Cricetulus griseus: one gene and its partners. The protein of the gene in region 2 purifies or fractionates together with the protein of the main gene of each other region. This does not show direct contact. Links are inferred from orthologs where the notes say so. Each region holds a gene or a part of one and is shown on either strand. Other genes may lie near its edges.

The links.
Region 1: the proteins of Rsrp1 (region 2) and Cpsf6 purify together in Homo sapiens (affinity purification with mass spectrometry; 3 studies listed by BioGRID and IntAct, with this or other methods). This does not show direct contact. The link is inferred for Cricetulus griseus from reciprocal best matches to the Homo sapiens genes RSRP1 and CPSF6.
Region 3: the proteins of Rsrp1 (region 2) and C1qbp purify together in Homo sapiens (affinity purification with mass spectrometry; 3 studies listed by BioGRID and IntAct, counting the BioPlex papers as one, with this or other methods). This does not show direct contact. The link is inferred for Cricetulus griseus from reciprocal best matches to the Homo sapiens genes RSRP1 and C1QBP.

The regions. Positions count from the first base shown.
Region 1 is NW_023276806.1:138,941,972-138,949,953, reverse strand, and holds the start of Cpsf6 (cleavage and polyadenylation specificity factor subunit 6), read right to left. Parts: upstream 4,108-7,982; 5' UTR 4,011-4,107; coding exon 3,951-4,010; intron 1-3,950. UniProt on the Homo sapiens protein: Component of the cleavage factor Im (CFIm) complex that functions as an activator of the pre-mRNA 3'-end cleavage and polyadenylation processing required for the maturation of pre-mRNA into functional mRNAs.
Region 2 is NC_048595.1:18,351,164-18,359,131, forward strand, and holds the start of Rsrp1 (arginine/serine-rich protein 1), read right to left. Parts: upstream 4,031-7,968; 5' UTR 3,870-4,030; intron 3,757-3,869; 5' UTR 3,703-3,756; coding exon 3,138-3,702; intron 2,083-3,137; coding exon 1,937-2,082; intron 445-1,936; coding exon 361-444; intron 247-360; coding exon 130-246; 3' UTR 1-129.
Region 3 is NC_048600.1:84,785,876-84,793,879, reverse strand, and holds the start of C1qbp (complement component 1 Q subcomponent-binding protein, mitochondrial), read left to right. Parts: upstream 1-3,897; 5' UTR 3,898-3,962; coding exon 3,963-4,188; intron 4,189-4,595; coding exon 4,596-4,746; intron 4,747-7,220; coding exon 7,221-7,317; intron 7,318-8,004.

The DNA of each region.
Region 1 (7,982 bases), on a different chromosome or scaffold from region 2:
CTTTGGGGTTTGACAGATGGCTCAGGGGTTAAGAGCACTGTCTAGAAACCTGGGTTCCTAGCACCCATATGGTGGCTCACAACCATCTGCAACTCCAATTCCAAAGGATCTGATGCCTTCCTCTGACCTCCACTGGCACCAGGAATGCACATACAAATACATACATGCAGGCAAAAACACTCATACACATAAAAGAATAAATCTGGAGGGGAGCATTCTGCTTTCTGCTTAACTGAAAGTCAGTAGTAATAAATGCACAGATTCAGTAGTTCAAATTCTCCTTCCATGGAGAAACTATTCTCCATTTGGCCACATCCAAAACCTTTTAAGATCCAAGCTGCCCATATGATTCTATGCCTTCTTGTCTTCATTCTCCATTCTTAAAAATCACCTAGTACAGAAAGTAAATGCACTTAGTCTCATCCCATCCCAAATTAAAGCGTTTAATACTCATGTCTCATACTTCATGCAATCAATATTGTGCTTTGCCAAAATGCAAAACAAGACCAGTGACTACACACAGAATTTCAGAGAATACAAAATACAATTAAAACTGCAGCTCACAGCCAGGCGTCGGTGGCTCTTCCTTTAATCTCAGCACTCGGGAGGCAGAGCCAGGCTCTGCAGACCAGTCTGGCCTCAAACTCAGAGATCCTGCCTGCCTGCCTCTGCCTCCCAAATGCTGGGATTAAAGGCGTACACAAACACAGCCCAGAAAAATTAAAAAAAAAAAAACTAATATGTATAAATGTTTAGAAATCAAAATAACTAAAAATTGCTAATGATTAGTTCTGAAAAATATTTGCTCAACTACAATCAAATATCATATTGGTAACTACAGCAGCTAGTAGAAATAAGGCTACCACCTAGTAAGAGAAAAGAGAATAACAGGGATGCAGGACAGGAGTATAAGGTGTTTGCCTATCATGTGCAAGGGCCTGAGTGGAAGGAAAAGAACTGAGCCTGATGGCTAGCACAGATTTGGGATCCCAGCACTGGAGAGGCTGAGGCAGCAGTTGTACCACAAGTTCTAGGTCAACATGAGCTACAAGACAGAAAAACAAGCAAGAGGGAGATTAAATCAATCAACAACTTTGTTGTTGCTTCTAATTCTGGGTAGGATCTCATGAAAACACTTCAATGGTAGTAACATCTATAGAAAACATGACAAATCTCAAAATAACTGACAATCTTTTGGTGGCTACTTTTTTGTTCGGGAATTCAGAGCAAGCACTAACATACCTCTGGAGTGAACATACAGCTCAGTGGTAGAGTGCTTGCTTACCTAGATGTGCAAGGGCCTGGGTTCAGTCCCCAGAGCTGCAAACAAGGGATTTTGGAAAAAGCCTCTACTTACCCTTCCAATTAATCTATCTAAACCTACAAAGATTTTCCTTGTAAAATTACACAACCATGTAGCAGACACATGTCTGCTACAAGTCAATGAAAAGCTACACTTATAAAAAGGAGGCCTACAAAGTAGTTCCTCACTGGAATCAAAAAAGTGTTATCTTTTCTTGACCTCTTGCTAGCTAGCACCACATCCAGTTATATCATAAGTATACTGTCCTTCCTAAATTAAGTATTCAACAGTCTGAACATATTTCATAGAGATAACGAAGAAAGCTTATCTTTCTTTTCTTTGGGAGACAGGCTCTCACACTGTAGTCCAGGCAGGCCTCAAACTCAAGAGATCAACTGTCCTCTAACCACAGGGCCACCTTCTCCAGCCTCTAAACACATCTTTTGTTCTCTATTGTGAGCAGTAGTTTTAATTGTACTTGGTGTTCTCTGAAATTGTGTAGACACTAATCTTGTTCTCCATTTACTATTTAAAATAGGCATAGTTTTATAAGCTTATTTTGCATTTTGGTAAAGCACAACTTTGGTTGCTGGGATTTAAAGTTTGTGCCACCATGACCAATTGAGAAACCTTAATTTCTAAAACTGTATCCCAATTCCTCCTTACTGAGAGCACAAAAACAAAGCAATATGTTCTCTTAGTGAAAAAAGTGAATGATAGCCAGGCAGTTGTGGCTCACACCTTTAATCCCAGAACTCTGGAGGCAGAGTCAGGCAGATCTGAGTTCTGAGTTTGAAGTCAGCCTGGTCTACACAGTGAGTTCTAGGACATTCAGGGATACACAGAAAAACTCTGTCTTGGGAAAAAACTATTTTTAAAAAAAGCTAATGAAGACTGTTTCAAACTTTTATTTTTCCTTTAGTCACAGTTATGACAGTGTTTTGGAAATGCTACATGTCATGATAGATGAAAGGGGGGGGGATCCGGAGGTCTTAACTAATCTACTATTTCTGTAGCACTCAAAAGAAAATTTCTAAGTTGTAACTAACAACTCAGGCACGATAAAAAACAGATTTTCAAACTTAACGTTTTATTGCAACGGGTTAATTACATTTAAAAATATCTAGTGTCTAAGTCAGCAGTAATTAAACCCTATCAAAATTTGCTTCTCTTTTTCTAATACTTAAACCAGAGGCACACTGTCATTGTTGAAAAACAAAGCAAGTAAGGATTTAAGAGTTTCCATTGTTTTGTTTTTTTAAATCTTGCATCCCTAGTCATAAATACGATTATTAGAAGGTAAGCTATTAATCAATTGCATCTTATTAAGCTTCTCCTCTGAACCTGGGACATTTTTATAAATAAAAAATTAAAAAGAAAAAACCCACAGCTTTTAGCAGCACTGTCGTTGGATGCAACTTGGGGAAAAAAAAAAGTGACGTGAACATACAAAATGCAATAAAAATATGGAGAGGACTAAGAGGCTAAACGTTACTAACTCCGGTAACTAGACCTGTCCAAGGATGTTCACCATCAGACATCCCAGCTAGTTCTAGGCGACCGTGGCCGGTGAGACCGGAAAACCTGATACTTCTCACTTTCTCAAGCCTTTCAAATCGTGAAGTAGGGCCCCACCGGGCTAACACTCGGCTTTCAAAACACAGTCACCTCCACGACGGCTCGTAAGCAAGCTATCACACGGTAAGAATGTCGGGTGGACGTTCTCCGTTTCAGCCTCCGGGATCTGTTAGCGAGAGACCACCATCTTTTTGTTCTGTCCAACCACCGAGCATCCAAGTCTTTAGCGCAAGCCATTTATCTTCCCAGATTATTATTTCCCTTCACAAAGGCCAAGGACCGGGCCTCAAAGGCCCCCGCAAGCCCTCGGTGGCCACGGCGGGCCATCGCACCGTGAGACTTTTTCAAAATGAACTCAGTGGGTCCAGAAGTCAGATGACTTGTTGCAGACGTACCCACACCTAAGCCGCCTTCCCTCCCCGCCTCGGGGACCGGGGCACCACGCAGAAACCTGTCGCCAACGCGAGCAAAGGAGCCCGGGAGACCCGGCGCGCGGGATACAAAGGGCTGTGAACGCGGCCTTCCATGAGGGCGACCGTGCGCCGACAAGAAACACAAAATGGAGCGACGGGAGGAATCGGAACCCAGCGGCGGCAGGGCCGGGATGGAGGCGACGGGCGGGCGGGCGGGCGAGCGGGCGCGCGCCGGGCCAGCCAGGGCTGCTTCCCCCCACCATCAGGCGGGCGGCGGGGGAGGGGGCGCGGCGGCCCGTTCTCCCCGCCCCGCACACGCGGCCTAGCTCGGCGGGAAGCGCCCGCCGCCGTAGCCAACAATGGGGCGTGAGGCCGCCTCGAGGGAAGGGAGGGCGGGCGAGCCGGCGAGCGGGCGGCTGCACGGCGACCGGGCCCCGCGCTCCAGAGCCCGCGGCCCGCATAAACGACGCGCGAGAACAAGGGGTGAGGGGGCGCCGCGCCGCGCACACACTCACACAGCGGCGCGGCCCAGAGGCGCCAAGGGCGCACGGTCTGCAGCCGAGCCCGGCTCGCGGCCCTCCCGCGGCGACCCTGGTGGCGAGCGTCCAGGCCGCCGCAGCGTCGGCGTCCGTGGCGGAGCCCAGACCCTCCCGTACCTGATTGAACTCTTCGCCCACATCCGCGTAAATGTCTATGTGGTCCACGCCGTCCGCCATCTTCCCTCGGCCTGGGCCGCCGCCGCTGCCGCCGCCTCCTCCTGCAGGTCGGCCCGCCGAGGCAGCAGCAGCGGATCTAGCGGTGGGGGCGGGGCGCGATACGTCACTTCCGAGGGGCGGAGACCAGGGCGTAGCGGCCCCAGCGGGCGGGCCTGGGGACCCGGCGGAGGGCTCGCTGCGGCTCCCAGGGCGCTCACTGGTTCTTTTGTGTGCTGGTTTAAGCGGCAGGATGGCGGGGTGGCACAGGAAATTGCCATCCCGCATGCCGGGACAACCCGCTTCTGTCCGGAGACTACGGTTTCAAGCTGCTTCTTGCACTTTTTTCTTTAAAAAACAAAAAATTTACGTTTTCAGCTTTTCCTATTTTTTTTTTTTTTGCTTCTGAGGCTTCGAGAGGTGGGAGTTATTATGTGTACACAATCAAAAGCAAAATGTGATGGCCGGGGCAATGTCTTATTTCTGCTTCTAAAAGACAACCGAATTTTGTGTATTTGTGTACCTTGAGTTATTTGTGTATTTCATGCCTGCATCTCTTTTCTGTATACAGTCGGTTGTCTTTTCGCTTCTTCCCTTATCCTCCTCCTTCCTCCCCCATTGCCCTTGCTTTTTTTTTTTCCTCTTTATGTGTGCAGAAGGTTTTCTTTCGAGGCTTCTAACTTCCTTTTAGAGCTCATGCAACAAAGCAAACATATCTTAAATCTAGGAACTCCTGAATTCAGAATGCTGAGCTAGAAGGGAAATTTAAAAAGGTGTCCAAACATCCCATTTTACAGATAGAGAACTAAGGCCTAATAGAACATAAGTGATTTAACTAGGGGTTATGTGGCTCGTAAAGGTACACACACACCTTCTTGCACCGGTACGTGATTCAGAGACCTCTCTCTTATTTCCAACAGCCTCACCCATTTCTTTCCTTCCCATTGAAAAACTCACCAGGCCTGGCTCATTCAGGTAAAGATCCTAGCTGTGTTTTGTTTTTGTTTCAAGATCCTAGCTGTGAAGGCTAGCACTCTCATGAATCTCATGAATAAAAGAGAGAACCAACTCCTATTAAGTAATCCTCCATCTACTCAGCGCCTCTGGCTACCCCCAACCCCACCAACAAATAAATGAATATTGGTTTGTTTTTTAAAGGGCACCAGATGCAGATTGGTCTGGAATCATCAATAAACCAAGTAACATCTGTTCTTGTTATGGCTATTAAAGCTTGGTGGCTACCAGAAGGTGGTGGTGGCATGTGCCTTTAATCCCTGCACTCTAGAGGCAGAGGCAGGTGGATCTCCATGACTTTGAAGCCAGCCTGGTCTACAAAGTGAGTTCCAGGACAGCCAGGGCCACACAAAGAAACCCTGTCTTTACCCCCCCCCCAAAAAAAAAGTTTTGATGATTTTTCAAATGTAACTTCAGAGTACCTTTTTACTTGACAATTTTCAAAATTTGAAAGATTGGTGTAAATTAGAAAGGAAAAATCTAATAACTCTAGCTCTTATTTTTACTTTTACTTTTTTTCATTGTTGTTTTTTTGAGACATGGTTTCTCTGTGGCTTTGGAGGCTCACCTGGAACTAGCTCTTGTAGATCTGGCTGGTCTTGAACGCACAGAGATCCACCTGCCTCTGCCTCCTGAGCTCTGGGATTAAAGGCGTGCACCACCACCACCTGGCTAGGTTTACTTATTTACTTATGCTGTGCCTATGCATGTTGTGTGGACAGGTTCATGCCATGGTTCATGTATGGAAGTCAGAGGATGGCTTTGGCTTTATGAGTCATTTTTCTCCTTCCATTGTGTGGATACTTTGATCTTGATTTTTGTTTGTTTGTTTAAGATAGGGTTTCTCTGTGTAGCCCTGGCTATACTGGAACTCACTTTGTAGACCAGGCTGGCCTGGAACTCAGAACTCAGAGATCTGCCTGATTCTGGCTCCCAAGGGCTAGAATTAAAGGCATGTACCACCATGCCCAACTATCATCATAATTTCTTGATGGATGTTCTAAATTTTTTTTTGTCTCAAGTCTACATGGAATAAAAAGTCCAAATGTCTTTAAAAGAAATTAAACAATTGTGTGTTACATGTTGCACATAAACTGTCTTTCCACCTCCCTGTGCTAGTTTCTTATTGCTACTGTAACAACTTAGTAACAATGCCAGGGCCTGAAACAACACAGATTTACTATCCTACAGTTCTGGGGGTCAGAAGTCCAATATAGGTTTACAAGGTGGCTCCAGTTACCTCTTCTGTTGCTGTAGTAAAACACTCTGACCAAAAGCCACTTAGGAGGAAAGGGTATTAGGGTTCTCTAGAATAACAGAACTTATAGAATGTTCTCTCTCTCTCTCTCTCTATATATATATATATATATATATATATTCGAGGCCAGCCTGGTCTATAAAGCTACACATAGAAACACTGTAACACTGTAGTAATAATAGAAGAAGAAGAAATTCCCACTTCAAATTAAGCAACAATCCCTCACAGATATGCCCTGACTTTTGGGGTTTTAGTTAATTCCAGATGTGGTCAAGTTGACAACCAAGAGTGCCATCACAAAGGATCTTTATTTTTAATGTTTATTTTTATTTCATTTGCATTGGCATTTTGCCTGCATCCATGTCTGTATGAGGGTGTCAGATCCCCTAGACCTGGAGTTACAGACAGTTGTGAGGTGTCAGGTAGTTACTCGGAATTGAACTCGGGTCCTTCTTTAGAGCAGTCAGTGTTCTCAACCACTGAGCCATCTCTCCAGCCCCCACCAAGGTTTTGGTTTTTTGTTTTATTTGAGACAGGGTTTCTCTGTGACTTTGGAGGCTGTCCTGGAACTAGCTATTGTAGACCAGGCTGGCCTCGAACTCACAGAGATCAGCCTCCCTCTGCCTCCCGAGCACTGGGATTAAAGTTGTGTGCCACCACCACCTGGCTCCACAAAGGGTTTTTTTTTTTTTTTTTTTTTTTTGTATTATACTTTCAGGTCTATCATTGAGGGATGGCAAGACAATGGAGGAATGCTGCTTACTGCCTGGCTCTTAGGCTCATGCTCAGCTTGGTAGTTTGTTTGCCTACTTGTTTTTATACAGGCCGGGTCCACCAGCCTAGGGATGGTGCCTCCCAGACTAGACTGGACCCTCCCACATTATTCATTTGTCAAGATGGCCTCTCACAGACCTCGGCACAGAACAATTTTATTTAGGCAATTCCTCAATTGAATGTCCTATTTCCAGGCAGCTCTGGTTTGTGTCAAGTTGACAAAAAACAAGCAGCCCAAGGCCTAATGAAATATTTTAGGAAGTCTGTGATGTATCTGCCTATTTTCAAAAATACAAGACAGGGCTCTCTTTTCTTTATCTTTTTCACCTGTGCAGCCATCAAAACCTTCTGGTTCAAATAATTGTTGTACAACAAAACAGGCAGCTGTCTTAGTTCCAATCACAAAACTAAGGAGAAAGCAACCAATTGCCTCACTTAAAAAAATTCATTGCCCAGTGGGTAGTGGTGATGGTTGTGGCACACGCCTTTAATCCTAGCATTCTGGAGGCAGAGGCAGGTGGATCTCTGTGAGTTCAAGGCCAGCCTGGTCTACAGAGTGAGTTCCCAGACAGGCTCTAAAGCTACAGAGAAACCCTGCCTCAGGAAAAAAAAGAAAAGAAAAAAAAAAAAAAAAGAATCCTTGGGGAAAAAAAACAGTGATTGTTTTGCTGAAGGGACATTGTAGCCATACTATGACCTAGGACACAAGATGCATCAGGCACACCTGAGGCTCTTGTATTATGTGTATTGCAAATGATACATAATAAAGGACTGGAGTCATGGGGGTGTGTAATGTTCTTCTTTAGTAAGATGTGTAAATTAAATTATCGACCTTGGTATAAGGAAATAGTTTGTGTAACAATCAATAAATACACCTCTGTATAGCTGTTCGGGAGTTTAGTCCATCAGAGAGGCTGGCCCTTCCTGCTGCTACATAGGCCTTAAAATTT
Region 2 (7,968 bases):
TCTTTCTTGATGTAATGGAGTTTAATCACAACATTTACTGCCATGATACTCAGGCAGGTAGGCGAATGCTGGAGGACAGGAACTCTCAGTAAAGTGCAGTTTTAGGGAACCCCAGCCCTTGGTTTTTCTTTACACAGGTATCCACAGTCCATAAGGACTTTTTTTCTTATCTATTTTTGGTGACCCTGATGATGTCTCTTCAGCAGCAGCTTTAGCTGTTTTCTGTATCGGCTTTGCTATGGAATTCTGTAAGACAATAAATTCAAGTCAACTTCCCAGAGATTGTCAATACAAGTTAAAAACAACAAACCCTACACTGAATATATCCAATTTTCAAGGGCAATGTTCTGCTATACTTACATTAGAGCTGAAGGCTATGTTTCTTTGTGTGGAAGATTTCTCACTGTGATTTTTAGTTTCATCTTCAGCTTGATTTTCTGAGTGCTAGAGGGGTAGAGAATTTTTAAACATAGCCTTAGTTTTTGAATACTGTATAAAAAGCAGCCCAATTGCACACAATTGTAGATGTAGACACACAAACCAAATTCCATCTATTGCCAGCTAACAAGCTAGACAACAAAGAAACTGTTTCCACTTAACAAGACTGACTCAGAAGTAGACACAGTTCCCCAGGAATACCTGATTCTTTGTTGTGAATATAACTCATTTTTGAGTAAGTGCAATAGAAAACGCTTTGTTAAGATTGGAGGCATTTGCGTTGTGCCTCAATCATCTCCAGGAGCACCTCTTAGGTACTTGCCTAAGCAAACAGTAGGCAGTAGAAACCATCTTAATTGGACAATTAACTTTTTTTTTTGTTTGAGACAGGGTTTCTCTGTGGGTTTAGAGGCTGTCCTGGAACTAGCTCTTGTAAACCAGGGTGGCCTCAAACTAACAGAGATCTGACTGCCACAGCCTCCTGAGCGCTGGGATTAAAGGCGTGGGCCACCACCGCCTGGCTGGACAATTAACTTTTATGTTAAATTTCTATAAAGCATTTTTTTGAGACCAGGTCTCTCATCTATCCCCTGGCTGGCCTAATTATGTAGCCAAGGATGACCTTGAACAATCCTGTCTCCCAAGTGCTAGGATCACAAGTGTGGGGCACTATACCCAGTTTGCACTGCTGGGATCTAACCCCTCGTGTTATGCACCCTAGACCAACTGAGCTACATCCCCAGACTATTATCAACTTAAGATTCCGGTTTCACACCAATTAACTTGTAAGTACAGTTCAATGTGCCAATGCACATCCTTTGTAATTCTGGAGAATTGTAATAAACTTATCTGCAAGTGAAGCAGGCCTCTTCTTCGTAATCTCTCAAAACATCTGGAATATATTGCATATATTATGAACGGGACATCTAGAGCACAGATGCCCCACCATTACACAGTGCATCCAGGCTGAACTGTCAAACTACCTTACACAAATAGCCCTAGCCCAAAACTCTAACATGCACATGGACTACCTTCAACAAAAGCTAAGCTTTAGTCTCTGAACATCAACTCTGGCATTTTAACCCATAATCAATTACCAACAGATTTTCTTCATCATTGTCTGGAGACCACATTCATGATTTCTATAAGACAGAAATAAAGCAGATAAACTATACTGTATACTGAGCACAGACTTTTGGGAACAATGCTGTAAATGAAAGCTACTGATAGAACACTCCAGTCTCTAAAGACTAGACAGAGCAAGAAAAAGACAAAGTACTAACAATAATATAATCAGTGGCTTTATTGTTATGGAAAAACTGACCAAGTATCAGAATGAAAGGAAGTTCATCATCTCCCAGTTTCCTGGTAGACGGTCTAGTACTTGTCAGATTAGTTTTGTTCTGGGCAAATGATTTAAGACATCCCAGGAGGGCTCTCTACAGTAAACTGACAGGGTAAGGAGATTTGCCTGTAGTAGCCCTCTGAAGATACTTACCTCCATCTTTGCGCCACTGCTCAAAACAGCTGCTCTCTGGCTTGTTTCCTTGGCTGCAGTCCGGAGACTCGCTGGCAAGTCAAAGTTGGCTGTTCCTAGAGCTTTTGCTGCATTGGCTTTTGCTATTTCTAGCAGCTCCATTCGATCTAAGGGCATTAAAAAAACATTCATCATCCTCTAAGGTTCCTTAAGCCCCCAAATAACAAACCAAGTATGTTTTCTAAAACAGTAATGCATTCCTTTTAATGAACATTGCTGGAAAACAAAAATCACAATTTTATGCTGAGGGAAAAGTAGCTTCCCAAAATTACCCAAAAAACTAGGTTTTATTTTTTTCTCCTGTTTTGAGAGTGTTTCTGTTTAACAATCCCAACTGTCCTGGAACTCACTTTATAGACCAGGCTGGCCTGCAACTCAGGAGATCCACCTGTCTCTGCCTCACGACTGGCTACAGTTAGCTGTCCTGACAAACAGCACTGTTTGTCTTTTCAAGCATTTCTGTAAACTAGGGTGTTTGGTAACTATACAGTTCTATTACCACTACTACTAATCTTGGCAGTGTTAGGATTCATGTTCAAAATTTATTATTTTGTAATATTACCAAGTCACCTGAAAGTTAGCAAAATCCAATCCTCCCACCTAGTAAATCGTCTTAAAAAATGTTTTTTAAGTGCTTCCCAGCTTAAACTAAGTCATTAACATATTTTAAGATCATACTAAAAATGGCCCGCTAGTAGGAGACTCCTGTCTTTGGGCCAGCGAGGCCATAAATGGACTTGGACTTTCTATACTCTTAAGGTGAAAGGTGCGCGAAATTACATTCTACCTATTCACCAGCTGAAAATTCTTTCCCTCCAAGAAATCTTTGACACCAAAGAAAACGCGGTGGAAAAGCGCCTGGTCCCGGGCTTTATCTTTGTGTGTGTTTTTTTTTTTTTTCGAGACAGGGTTTCTCTGTGTGGCTTTGGAGCCTATCCTGGCACTAGCTCTGGAGACCAGGCTGGCCTGGAACTCAGAGATCCGCCTGCCTCTGCCTCCCGAGTGCTGGGATTAAAGGCGTGCGCCCGGCTGCGGCTTCAATGTTACCAATCCAACTAAACTGGCTCAGCCACCTGACTCCTCCCTGGCCGACGGCTGGAAGGCAGCGTCTCAATTCCCAGAACCCCAAAGGCACAAGCGTCAAAGTGACACCAAGACCCACCTTTCTCACTTAAGCGAAAGGGAGTTCTGCTCCTGCTGCGCGACCTGGTTCTGGACCTTTCCCTCCAGCGGGGGCGATCCTCGGGGTACACCGTGCGGCCGAAACCGTAGTAGCGCCGGCCGCGCGTGATGGCGTAGTACGACCTCCGGTGATGCGACCGCCCGCGGGAGCGCGACCTGCTCCGGGACCGGTAGGGCGACGGCGACTGGTAGTACCTGCGCGACGGCCCGTAAAAGCCATCTCCTCGGTGGTAGTGGCGGCCGCGGGAGCGGGAGCGGGAGCGGCTGCGGGAGTACGACCGCGAGTAGCGCCTGTACTTGCGCTGGTGGCGCCTGCGGGACCGGGAGCGGGAGCGGCGGCTCCGCCGCGCCCGGCTATGGCTGCGCGACGACGAGCGGCTGGCACTGCGCGAGTCCGGGCCGGAGCTGCGGGACGAAGAGCGGCTGCGGGAGCGCGACGACAGGCGGCTGGAGCGGCCCGAGCCCGACGCGGATGGCGAGGCTTTCTCCTGCGGAGAGCCGGGCCACATGTCGTTCACGTACTTAGACGTGGCGGCCGAGGACATGACCTCCTCCTTCCTCTTCTCGGGATCCGGCTTCTTCCGCAAACGCGACGGCGGCTAGGAACGACGGCAAAGGGCAAGGGTCAACCCCGGAAGCGGGAGTGCGCGTGCGCGAACAAACAAGCGCGAGCCCGTGCTCCCGGCCACCCGCGACCGCGCCACCGACTCACCTTAAGCCGATGAGGTGCTCGCACGGGCGAGAGAAAAGCCTAGCGGACACCTTCCTCTCAAACCAGGGTCCGGAGGCGGCCGGGTTTGCAGTGCCCACCGACCCGGGAGCGCAGGAACTGCCACCTCCGAAGTCCGGACGCGAACTGAAGCCAGGGGCGACGTCAGCACCGAAAATACGAGAAGATAGCGCGGAGCATGCGCACAAACGTCAGCGCGGTGGGGCGGGCTCTCGTCTCGTCCAATCGCCGCTCGACATTCGCGCTCAGCCGGTTGCTTCGGGCTACGCCTTCGAGACACGCATGCGCGTGGGAGCCGTCACTCCACCCCCCCCGCCCCACCCCACTCCGTCCCGCCTTGTACATCCGGGTATTTGGGGAGTTTGTTGTTTTCGGGGATTTTTGTTTGTGGGGTGGAGGATTGGTTGGTTTCGGGGTTTGGTGTTTTGAGACAGGAACTAGCTCTATGTAGCTCAGTCGGGCCTCAAACTCGCCGCGATCCTCCTGTCCCTGCCTCCCCAGCACCCCCGGCCTGTGACACCACGCCCAACTTTGTTTCCCTTTGTTTTGTTTTCTGGTTGCTCCACCCTCCTGGTATGGAATTCGGGGAAAGGTGGAGTCAGCACACAATTTGGCGGGCTCTACAGCTGGTTCAAGGACACGGAAGACCAGGGCGACCCAACCCCCCTCGTCCTTCCTGACCTTCTGCAGGGGAGCCTGGGAGGGCCCCGAAAATGCAGTTGTAATTTAGAAAGGGTTCTTAACTTGCTTATTTGAGCTAGTAAATGTAATTGAAGTCAAGATAGAAATTCCGAGGCAACCACAGTTGACCTTGGAGGAGTAAGAGTGCTTGATAGCCCCGTGGTGGTGGTGTGGATCTCTGTGAGTTCAAGGCCAGTCTGCCTGGTCTACGCATTGAGTTCCAGGACAACCAAGGCTACAAAGAGAAACCCTGTCTTGAAAACAAACAAACAAAAAAGAATGGTTCATAGGTCTATTTTATATATGTGTGTGCAGAAGCCTAAGAGGAATCAGATCTCGTGGAACCGGAGTTACCGATGGTTGTGGGCCAGCAAGCACTCTGTGGGTGGTGGGACCCCCAGCCTGTGGGCTCTGAAACACAGCAAAAGCTTTTATTCCTAATAATGAGCCGTTTCTGCAGCAAATAGGTCTGTCCTAAGATTTAAGTGTGATTAGTGCAGGACATTTAAAATTTATTTCCATGGCAGATTCCAAACATTGTCATAAAACATAACCGTGACCCTGAAAAATGTAGGTAATGGTGTTGTAATTTAAGAAAAGTGTGAGAGAAAGATACCATGGGACAGGATTCAAGCACAGGGTTTGTTTGTTTTTAATTAGGGAAAGGGATCATAAAAAGGGGAAAGAAAGAGCAGGAGAGAGGAAGGGAGGGACAGAGAGGGAGAAAAGACAAGGTTGGGAGGTGGCAGGGCCCTTTGAAAGGGAACATAGTGAATTTGCACAGGTGGTGATCTTAGTGGCTGCAGCTGAGAGCATATCCAGTCAGAACCCCAAGGACAGGTGTAAGGATTCAGGCATTACTCTGGCCGGCCGCTGTCACTGTCATGTGGCAGAATGCACTCAGGCAGCACTCTGGTCCGGGGGACTGCTAGTCTGCAGGCCGGTGCAAAGGACCCCTTTAAAAGAAAGACCCCTGACCCCATATGCTCCTCTCTTTGCTGCTATTTCCCTGGGGCAGACAGGACTTTTCCTGTCTCCCTCTTCTCTTCTGTCCTCTCTCTGTCTCTGTCTCTGTCTCTGTCTCTCTTTACCTCATTTCTCTTTACACCCCCCATTCCCTTTCTAATAAAACTTCTCATTAAGCTCTGTCTGCCTGGCATGTTTGTCCCCCACCAAGGTCACTCTCACCTGTCATGGAATCTGCCAAGGTTCCCCTCACGCTTTGTCATAAAACAACAGGCCAGTACAGATGGCCTGAATACTAACATTCTTCCCTTTTTATTATAAAAAGATGAGGAGTTAGAAAGGGGTGGCAGGTGAGGTGGGGATGAGAACACTGTGTTCTCAAGACTACTTCCTGCTGACCTGGGGGGCAAGGCGGGGCGTCGTTCGTCTTTGGGGGACCTGGGAAAGCTGGGGTGCTAGCCACGTCCTGAAGTAGCCGGCGGTTTCACTTCACTGTCCAGGCTCTGTGTTACAGTCAGGTACCACCTGGACCTGGCAGACGTTATTCTAGGTGGAGCCAAGTGGACTCCCTAGGGCTTAAAGCCCCTGACCTTTCCCGTCTCCACAGCATCACTGGACATGTTTGGTCGTCTTGCGCCTCCAGCTCTGTGACCAACAGGTAGTAGTCCCGCAGCAACAGCTGATTAAGAGTGGTCAGTGGGGCCTGGAGAGATGGCTCAGAGGTTAAGAGCACTGATTGCTCTTCCAGAGGTTCTGAGTTCAATTCCCAGCAACCACATGGTGGCTCACACCATCTACAATGAGATCTGCTGCCCTCTTCTGGTGTGTAGGCATACATGCAGGCAAAATAGTGTATATATGATAAATAAATCTAAAAAAAAAAGAATGGTCAATGGGTCTCGAATGGGAGCAAGGAGGCATAGACGATATCACAGCTCCCATGAGTGAGGCAGAGAAGACCCATGGGTCTGCAGTTCCTAGTGTCCCAGGAATTCAGAGAGGGTCGATTTCAAGACAGGCACAGGCCACCCAGTGAGTCATCACTCAAAGGGTGGGGGCCAAGGGCTCTGAGCGAGAGAGACACAGTTAGCTGGTACCAGGACTTGAGGAAAAGCCAGAAGTAGAGGAAAGGACTGTGCTCAAGAAGGGAAGCCTCACATCCAGGGGGCATGGCCAGAAGTGGATAACCCCACCAGAGACCCAAACAAAGCCATCAGCAAACAAAAAAGCAGATTTGTTGCAGGTGGAAGACAGCAGATGGATTGAAGGTGACACAGGTTGGTAGGGTTCCAGCATGGAGAGATTAAAAGTGCTGGGAAGCGGATTTCTGGTAGGCGCATGCCCCATGAGTGAGGTAGAACGAGACCCAATGACTTTCCAAGTGAGGATAGAACAAGAAAGGCACAAGCCACCTCGGTGATTCCTCAATCTGGGGCTGAGGCCAAAGGACATGAGGGTCCAAGAAAGAAGACAGGCACAGGCCAGCCAGTGGGTCCAAGAAAGGAGACAGACACAGGCCAGCCAGTGGGTCATCACACAAAGGGTGGGGCCTAAGGGCTCAGAGCCCGAGAGAGCTGTGGTTGCCTGATACCAGAGCTTAATGAAGCCGAAAGGCCAGAAACCATTTGGAGAAAGATAAGTCCTCACTGAGTCCTCACTCGTGGGAATAACCTAAGGTGGGGAAGGTGAATTGGCTCACCAATCAGGCTGCTTTTGGATGGAAGCCATCAGGAGAAGTGAGGCTGTCATATGTGAGCCAGACTCTAGGGTCCTGGCATACCTCAAACGGCCTGCCTGCCTGAGGACAGAAGGAAATGTCAGGAGAGCCTTCCTGGTCAGGGAACCAATGTTGTAATTTAAGAAAAGCAGCAAGTGAGGAAAAAATGTCGTGCTATAGGGTTCAAGCAGAGGGGCTTTTTATTAGGGAAAGGGATCATAAAAAGGGAAGAGGGGAGACCCACCTGAGGGCTAGGAGCAGCAGAAGAGAGGACAGGGGGAGGGAGGGAGAATGAGAAGTAGGCAGGGCCCTTCTAAAAGTAACACTAACAAAAGGAACATTATTGGATGAAATAATAACCTCAATATAGAGTTAATGCTCTTGGAAATTAAGCAGGGTTTTACAAAAGCTGTGGATTTTGGAGGGAGATGAAAGAAACAAAGACTCTTGTTCGCATCTCCTTCCCACTTCCCCAAAATACAGGGAAATTGAAAGAAATGAAAACCTTATGGAGCCAGCAAGATAGCTCAGTAGTAAAAGTGCTTGTGGTGAAACACTGTCAACTTGAGTTCCATCCCACCCAAGGTGGAAGGAAAGAACTGACTCCCGGAAGTTGTCCCCTGAACTCCAAAACCCTCACATACATACCATACATTAGTAAAAATTCTCAAACTACAAGAACTAGAGAAATTGCTCAGCAGTAAAGAATAGTGATTC
Region 3 (8,004 bases), on a different chromosome or scaffold from region 2:
GCAGAGGAATTCCTTGGTTGGTCCTCAGTGCCTGTGTGGATGCATGTCCCCAGTAATGCTTTCAAGAGACATGCAGGTCTTCTGAAACTGGGAAGCCAGCTTTTCAGTGCAGTGGCCTTGGAAGCCCATAGTCATTTTCTCTTTGACTGGGCACCTACGAATGTGTGCACATGAAGGAGGCTTCACACCCATTTCAGCAGTCTCTGTTCAGATGGGGCCCAAGTCAGAGCTGCTAGGTGGCAAGGAGGGGACAGATGCTTGATGGCTTAGAAGCCAGAGTATCAGTTTGCCCTTTTCACCACCCCCAGACTTTGTATTTTTGTTCTTACTGATTTTCAGTGTCTGTTTTTTCTTCTTTGCAGGAACCTGGGGACAGTTAGTTTTACTACTTCCTGACCAGGTGCCACTCTCAAACCTTAATTATCTCCATTTGTGGGAGGGAAGTAGAGAAGCCTCTCCCATCCTTTTCCTATTTGGAAGATTCACCTTAGTTGATTATTAGGAGCAAACAATCCCTGGTACGGTGGTGCATACCTGTAACCCAGCTGAGAGGGGAGGACTGAGAGTTCTAGGCCAGCCTGGGCTGGACCTTCTATCTAAGTGGAGGAAGGAACCGGGGGCACATTTTTGAACCTAGAAAAGGTTCAAACCTTTTATTGTATTTAATTGATCCAGGCGCATTTCTACTACTAGGATTTTGAATTTCATTGTTTATAAGCAGGGGCCAAACTGCCTACTAAGTACTCCAAAGACAGTAGGTGGTTTCTTCTCTCTGGGTCCAAAGAGCTCTTTCCAGAGAGCATAGCGTGAGTGGGCACTTCCATTCCCGGGTCATTGGTCCACAGTTATGTATGTTGAGTCAGGTCTAGGCTTTATTATAACTCTAACCATGAGCAATCAAGCTTTTAGCCAGTGTTTAGGGTTGTCTGGGTACTCGATTTCTTTGATAAAATGGTTGCATTACCAAGTTTCTGAAAAGCTCTCTAGAAAGTGTGTCCTTTTAAAGTGTATTTTTCCTATATACACAAAGGGGCTGGGGTGTTTATTTAGCCTAGCTTGATAAGAGAAACTTTGTATTTTTACTAGAGCATTCATTATGCTGGTTAAAGAAAACAAGGGGAGACAGTCTGTTCCCCAGTGATGAACAGTTCCTGTTCCCCAGCAAATTAATATGGTGTTTTCTGGGTCAAGGAAAAATTAGCTTACATTGACTGACTCCATAACAAGCACTGGGAACTTACCATGGAGTGACTGGCTGCAGTGAGTACTAGGCACTTCCCAGAAAAGGAGTGAAGGATACAGTTTCTGAGTAACTTAATGTTTCTGTGCAGAATATGTTCATCACTTTAACATTGTGGCAAAATTTTAATAGAGTATTTACTTTTTTATTGGGCTTTTAAAACAAGTGGGTTTTTTAACAAAGCTGCTCAGGGATTAAATCAGATGGAAACCCCATTCTGACTCCACATATTACTACAGAGAAGTTAATGCTTATCTTAAGCTGCAGAGCAGTGCCCTTTAAGCTTTCTTAAGAAAGTAAATTGTTGATGGCAGTGGTCACACATGCCTTTAATCCCAGCACTCAGGAGGCAGAGGCAGGCGGATCTCTGTGAGTTCAAGGCCACCCTGGTCTGCAGAGCAAGTTCCAGCACAGACAGGGCTACACAGAGAAATCCTGTCTCAAAAAACCAAAAAATAAGAAATGTGAAATGTGGGCTGGAGAGATGGCTTAGCAGCTAAGAGCACCGACTGCTCTTCCAGAGGTCCTGAGTTCAATTCCCAGCAACCACATGGTGGCTCACAACTATCTGTTATGAGATCTGGTGCCCTCTTCTGGTGTGCAGATATACATGGAAGCAGAATGTTGTACACATAATAAACAAATAAAATCTTTAAAAAAAAATGTGAAATGATTCATGATTTTACTGCAATACAACCTGAGCTACTGAGAGTTACTTTAGTGTTTAGGTAAACTCTCTCCGACCTGAAGAATCCAATCTCGACTGTACAGCCTCAAACACTGAAGGTGAACAACCCTGAAACACCCAGGGCAACGGTTTCATTGCCAGGTTCCCATGAAAACCTTTGCACCTCTGCCAGCTCAAACAAGACTCCAAAGCAGCAAAACATTTACTGTGATACAAATCCTTGTACTCAGTTACCAGGATCTGTTTGGAACTATGGCCATGCATCTCCGATGCCATTCCTTGAGCTCATAAGCTAGACTGTACCTGTGGGGAAACCATTTTATGTTAATTTGTTGTACTGTAGGAAAAAACCTAAAAAGCAAAAATATCAAGGTGATTTGAACTTGTGCTGTACTCTGATTTCAAACATAAAAACAGTCCTGTGTAGTGCTTTTGACTATCAAATACATAAAAAAATGAATCTTTGTTTATGATTCTTTTGTTGGACTTCTTTCCCTTATTTATAGAATGCTGTTTAGATTATTAAACAGTAGTCTTATTGCCATTCATTTCGTAAGACTTGGTATCTATATTTTGGGGTTTTTTTCCAGACAGGTTTTGTTTTTTTTGTTTTTTTGTTTGTTTTTTTTTAACTCCGTGGCTTTGGAGGCTGTCCTGGAGCTAGCTCTTGTAGACCAGGCTAGTCTCGAAATCACAGAGATCTGCCTGCCTCTGCTTCCCAAGTGCTGGGATTAACAGTGCCTGCCATCACCGCCCAGCTGCCAGACAAGATCTATGTAACCCTGGCTGTTCTGAAACCCACTGTGTAGACAGGGCAGGCTGTCTCCTTAAACTCAGAGCTGTCTCCTTCCAGGTGCCGGGAGTATAAGACATGAGTGTTTGTTGTTTATGTGTTTGCCTGTTTAACCTACATGTCTGCACCACACTCACGCCTGGTGTTCATGGAAATCAGAGTCTGATGCCCTAGAAACTCCAGATAGATCTGGGACTAGAACTCTAGTCCTCTGCAAGAGTAACAAATGATCCTAACCACGGAGCCTTACGTCCAGCCTCTGGTATCTTCAATTCTTAACATAATGTGATGATGTAAGCCATGAATTCCTGCTTCCAGGAAAATGATAGTCCATTAAAAGCTGGATGAACTATTAGGGGGTGCAGAGGTTTCCAAAATAGATGCCACTGCATAGCAGCTGGGTGCAGGTCAACTTGAGCATTCCCGATGTTTAGAAGGTTCCAGAAGTGGTTTTTTGTTTTGTTTTTCGAGACAGGTTTTCTCTGTGGCTTCTTTTGGAGGCCGTCCTGGAACTAGCTCTTGTAGATCATGCTGGCCTTGAACTCAAAGATCCAGATCCGCCTGCCTCTGCTTCCCAAGTGCTGGGATTAAAGGCGTGCACCACCACCACCGCCCAGCAAAAATTCCAGATGCATTGTCCAAGGCTACAGCTTATTAAGGGTTTGAAAGAAGGGATCTGCGGATTAAATAAAACAGCGGGTCACTCTTGAAAGAAGAATGCCAATTTTATTTAGAGGGGAGTTGATTTATATACCATCAGCAGCACCCTAGGAAGTAACTCAGATCAAAGTCCATGCTCTTAAGGCCCTGACAATATGCAGATAATTTGCATATTTGTAAACAGGCCGTGTCTGCAGGAGGGAAAATGAATAGCACCTAGCCATAAGGCAGCCAGTAGCTCCCCAAGGGTCCTGTGGATCAGAGAAGAAAAGCAGACTCCCAGGGGGTCCCCCACATCCAGAAGACTTTTAAGTGAGGTGATCTCAGAGTATGTGGATTGAGAAGAGTGGGCAGTAAAGGAGAGACAGCCCATCAGCCCAGGGAGAACAGAGCTAAGGGATTCAGGACATCCCCGTTGCACTGGAGGCCCTCAGCAGAGGGCGCAGTCTGGCTCGGTTCCTGTCGCCCGGTGACGTAAGAGACCTTCCCGGGCGGGGGCGTGGCTTCCGGCGGTGTTCGAGGTCATATATACTGTCTTGCTCGACAGGGTCGTCACTCACTCCGCACGTGTCTTCCTCACCATGCTTTCTCTGCTGCGCTGCGTGCCCCGCGCCCTGGGCGCCGCTGCCACGGGCTTCCGCGCCGCTGCCCCGGCCTCGCCTCTCCCGCAGCTGCTGCAGCCCGCGCTTCGACCGTGCCTCCGGCCCTTCGGGCTGCTCAGCGTGCGGGCCGGCTCCGCACGGCGTTCCGACCTCTTGAAGCCCCCGGCGCCCTGCTCCTGCGGCTGTGGAGCTCTGCACACCGAGGGTAAGATTCACGCATCCAGGCCGGGATGTGGGGACCCAGCTTGGAACGGATCCCGAGCTGGACCCTCGCGATCGCAGGCCCCACTCCTCGTATCTTGGAAATATGACTTGGCAAAAGCCCGGAGGGGTCGTGGTTTGACAATGTGGTTGCTGGACATGGCTTTTGGCAAGTGAAAGCGGGTAGTTGGGAATTCTTGTTTTATACGGAGAGCAATAATACTAAGTACACTAAGGAGAAATAACTGCTAGAAGAGACATCCTGGTTTTACAGAGTGGGAAACGGACGTTTTCCGGAGTGAATTGGGCTAGAGTCATAGAGCAGCCATAGAAACAGATTAGGCACAGTCCAGGTCTATAGGGTAAGGCAGTTGGCTTTCTCTTTTTTGACCATGTTGGGTTGTCTTTTAGGAGACAAAGCCTTTGTTGAATTCTTAACGGATGAAATTAAGGAAGAGAAGAAAATCCAGAAGCATAAATCCCTTCCCAAGATGTCTGGGAATTGGGAGCTGGAAGTGAACGGGACAGAGGCTAAATTATCGCGCAAAGTTGCTGGAGAAAAGTAAGTACTGGCCCTGGAGTTCTAGGAGACTTTATCACTTACTCTGTCTTGGCCATCCCCATTAGGCCTGAGCTTAGGCCCCATGCTTTGGTAAAATGGCTTTTGAGAAAGCATGCAATTGGAAATTTTCTTAGGTTCCAGGGAGGACATTCACTGACAGATTTGCTGTGGCCTGGTAATTAATGTGTAAAGGGAAGGCTGTTGGGATGGCAGACACAGGCAAGCATTGGGTTATTGGTGACAGTGCTGTGCCCTGCCTGGATTTAGGCACTAGATTTTAGGAATGTTTAAAGTGCTGATTTGTTTAGAATTCACATAAAATTATCTCCTCTGGCTTGTGTTTATAACAGTTGAAAATGCAAGATATGTAACTTTTGTTTTTCGAGACAGGGTTTCTCTGTGGCTTCTTTTGGAAGCTGTCCTGGAGCTAGCTGTTGTAGACCAGGCTGGCCTCTTACTCACAGAGATCCGCCTGCCTCTGCCTCCCAAATGCTAGGATTAAAGGCGTGCGCCACCACCCACCCCGGCACGCCCATGCCTTTAGTCCCAGCCCACCTTTCTCTGAATTTGAGGTCAGCCTGGTCTACAAGAGCTAGTTCCTGGCCAGGCGTTGGTGGGGCATGCCTTTAATCCCAGCACTCGGGAGGCAGAGGCAGGAGGATCTCTATGAGTTCGAGGCCAGCCTGGTCTCCAGAACAAGTGCCAGGATAGGCTCCAAAGCTACACAGAGAAACTCTGTCTCGAAAACACAAAAAAACTAGTTCCTGAACAGCCTTCAAAGCCACAGAGAAACCCCGCCTCAGAACCCCCCCCCAAAAAAAAGTAACAGGATGAAATTACAGTGTAGAAAGGCCATCAGAGGTAGAGTTCTTTGTCAAGCTTAGCTTACCCCTCCCCTAAACGGGTCTCTATGGTACTTTGTAGCACAGACTGGTTCTTCATCCTTCTGCTTCAGATCCTATGTGCTAAAGTTTCAGGCCTATGCTACTACACCTGCTGCCCCTAAAACCTTTAACTTTGTTATGCTGATTTGTTACTCTTTCACCAGTCTTAGAGTCCTGCCTCTAAGGGCTTCTCTAGCATGTGTGAGGCCCAGGGTCAGCCCCCAGTGAGTGCCCCTTAAACACACATGTGTAAGAAAGCAGCTTTATCCAGTGGGGGCCTGTAACCCTAGTTCAAAGCTAGGCTGGGCTGTGGTGGTACACACCTTAAATCCCAGGGAGGCACATCTCTTGAGTTCAAGCTCAACCTGCTCTATAGAGCAAGTTCCAGGACAGCCAAGGCTTGAAAAACCTTAGAAAAGTTCAAAGCCAGAAGAAAAGGGTCATTGACTCTGGGGTGTGGCCACATTTGGTGATTGTCTTCTAACAGGGTGGAAAAGTTCTCTCAAAATTTGCAGGGCAGTGGTGGTGCACACCTTTAATCCCAGCATTTGGGAGGCAGCCTGGACTACAGAGTGAGCTCCTCTCCTAACCACCCTCCCTACCAAATCCAACTACATGCCCTGTCTCTTACAAAAAAAAAAAAAGACAAACCACCAGGCACACCAGTACTCAAGAGGAAGTGGCCAGTGGATCTTTAAAGTCAAGGCTAGCCTAATCTAAGTAATGTGTATAAAATAGCATTGAGTTTGTTTTGTGTTGGCCATTGGGACCTACCCTGAAGTATGATATACCTATTCATTGTAGAAGACTGATTTTTTTCTCTTTGCAGCCAGTACCAATTGCAGATATCTTGGCTTGGGAGCAGGAGCCCAACTAGCTTGAATATACCTAGCAAAGCCCCATTTCTAAACAGTACAGGTTGACACTAGTGGGTGTCAATCTTGGGTAGATCCATGAAGCCCTGGACTTGATCCCTAGCACCAAGGATGGAGAGATGTCTGGCCCTCTTAATATCATTAATTTAAGGAATTAGGTTCCTGCATACATGAGGGGAAAATGTAAGCCATGTTCAGACTGCCTGCCTAACATGTGTGGGGCTCTGGATTCAATCTCCAGCACTACACACACTTAGACTTTTTAATGTTAGGGCTAAGAAACCATTGCCTGGCCAAAGGTTGCAAAGAGTTCTGCAATTCAGTGTGCTTTTATGTGGGTTGGCACTGCTGAAGTAGAATGGTCCTGAACTTCTGCTTCCAGGTATCATGGCAAAGAAATTTATCTCATTTAGAGCATGTTTTGTCACATACTAATTCCTAACAAGGTAAAGTTACCTGGGCACAGGGACAGTATGCAGCTGTGAACGTTTGCCTGGTGTTTGCTTGAGCTCAAACCTCAGAAAGGGGGGGAAGGAAAATTGTTACTGGTGGTTCATTTGCCTTGTGGCTAAAGTTCTTAATCCCCCATGCAGAGGGCTGGGTTGGAGACATTGTTTCCGTGTGCCTTTGCACCTGCCTTTTGTAGCAGGCCTCTCTCTTCTGTGTACCACTTGGTTACTCTTGTACCTTAGTGTGTTCTCACTTGATTTTCTAGGATCACTGTCACTTTCAACATTAACAATAGTATCCCTCCAACATTTGGTGGTGGTGAGGAGGAGCCCTCCCAAGACCAGAAGACTGAAGAACAGGAGGTAAGCTAGTGATACTGTGGCCAGCCATTTTTCTGTCTTAAAAGGCAAGAAAGACTTGGGGTTGGGCGGTGGGAGTTGTTGGTTTGGGTTTTTGTTTTTGTTTTTGTTTTTTTTAAACATAGTCTCCCTATAACAGTCCTGAGTGTCCTGGAACTTGGTTTGTAGATCAAGCTGGCCTCGAACTCAGAGTTAACTGCTAAAATTGTTTCTGAAATTCCTTTTGTGCATATGATTAATGCCAGCACATGAGAGGCAGGGGAGTCTGAGTCCCAGGACAGCCAGGGCTACACAGAGAAACCCCGTCTCAACCAATTACCCCGCCCCCCCCAAAAAATTTTTTTCCTTATGAAAGAGGAAGTGGGAATGCCATTCCCTGGGTTTGTAGAGCAGTATTTTGGAATGGGTTTCAGCTGGAGGTGAGAGCCCTGTTCTAGGGTATATTGCCCCCTCTGCAGGGTTTAGGCTTGATTGTCGGGCCTGTGTTCTGTAAATGCAAAAGAGATATGACTGTCACCCCTGCCTGTGTTGTAGGGGGAGTACTTAGTGTCAAGACAACATCATTTGACATGTATTCAGTGTAAAGACAACACAAGCAGCTTGCAGGAATCAGTTTCATCCTGCCATGTGGGTTGCACTGGGCTTTGGGAGCAAACACCTTTACTTGATTAGCCATTTTGCTAGTCCAGC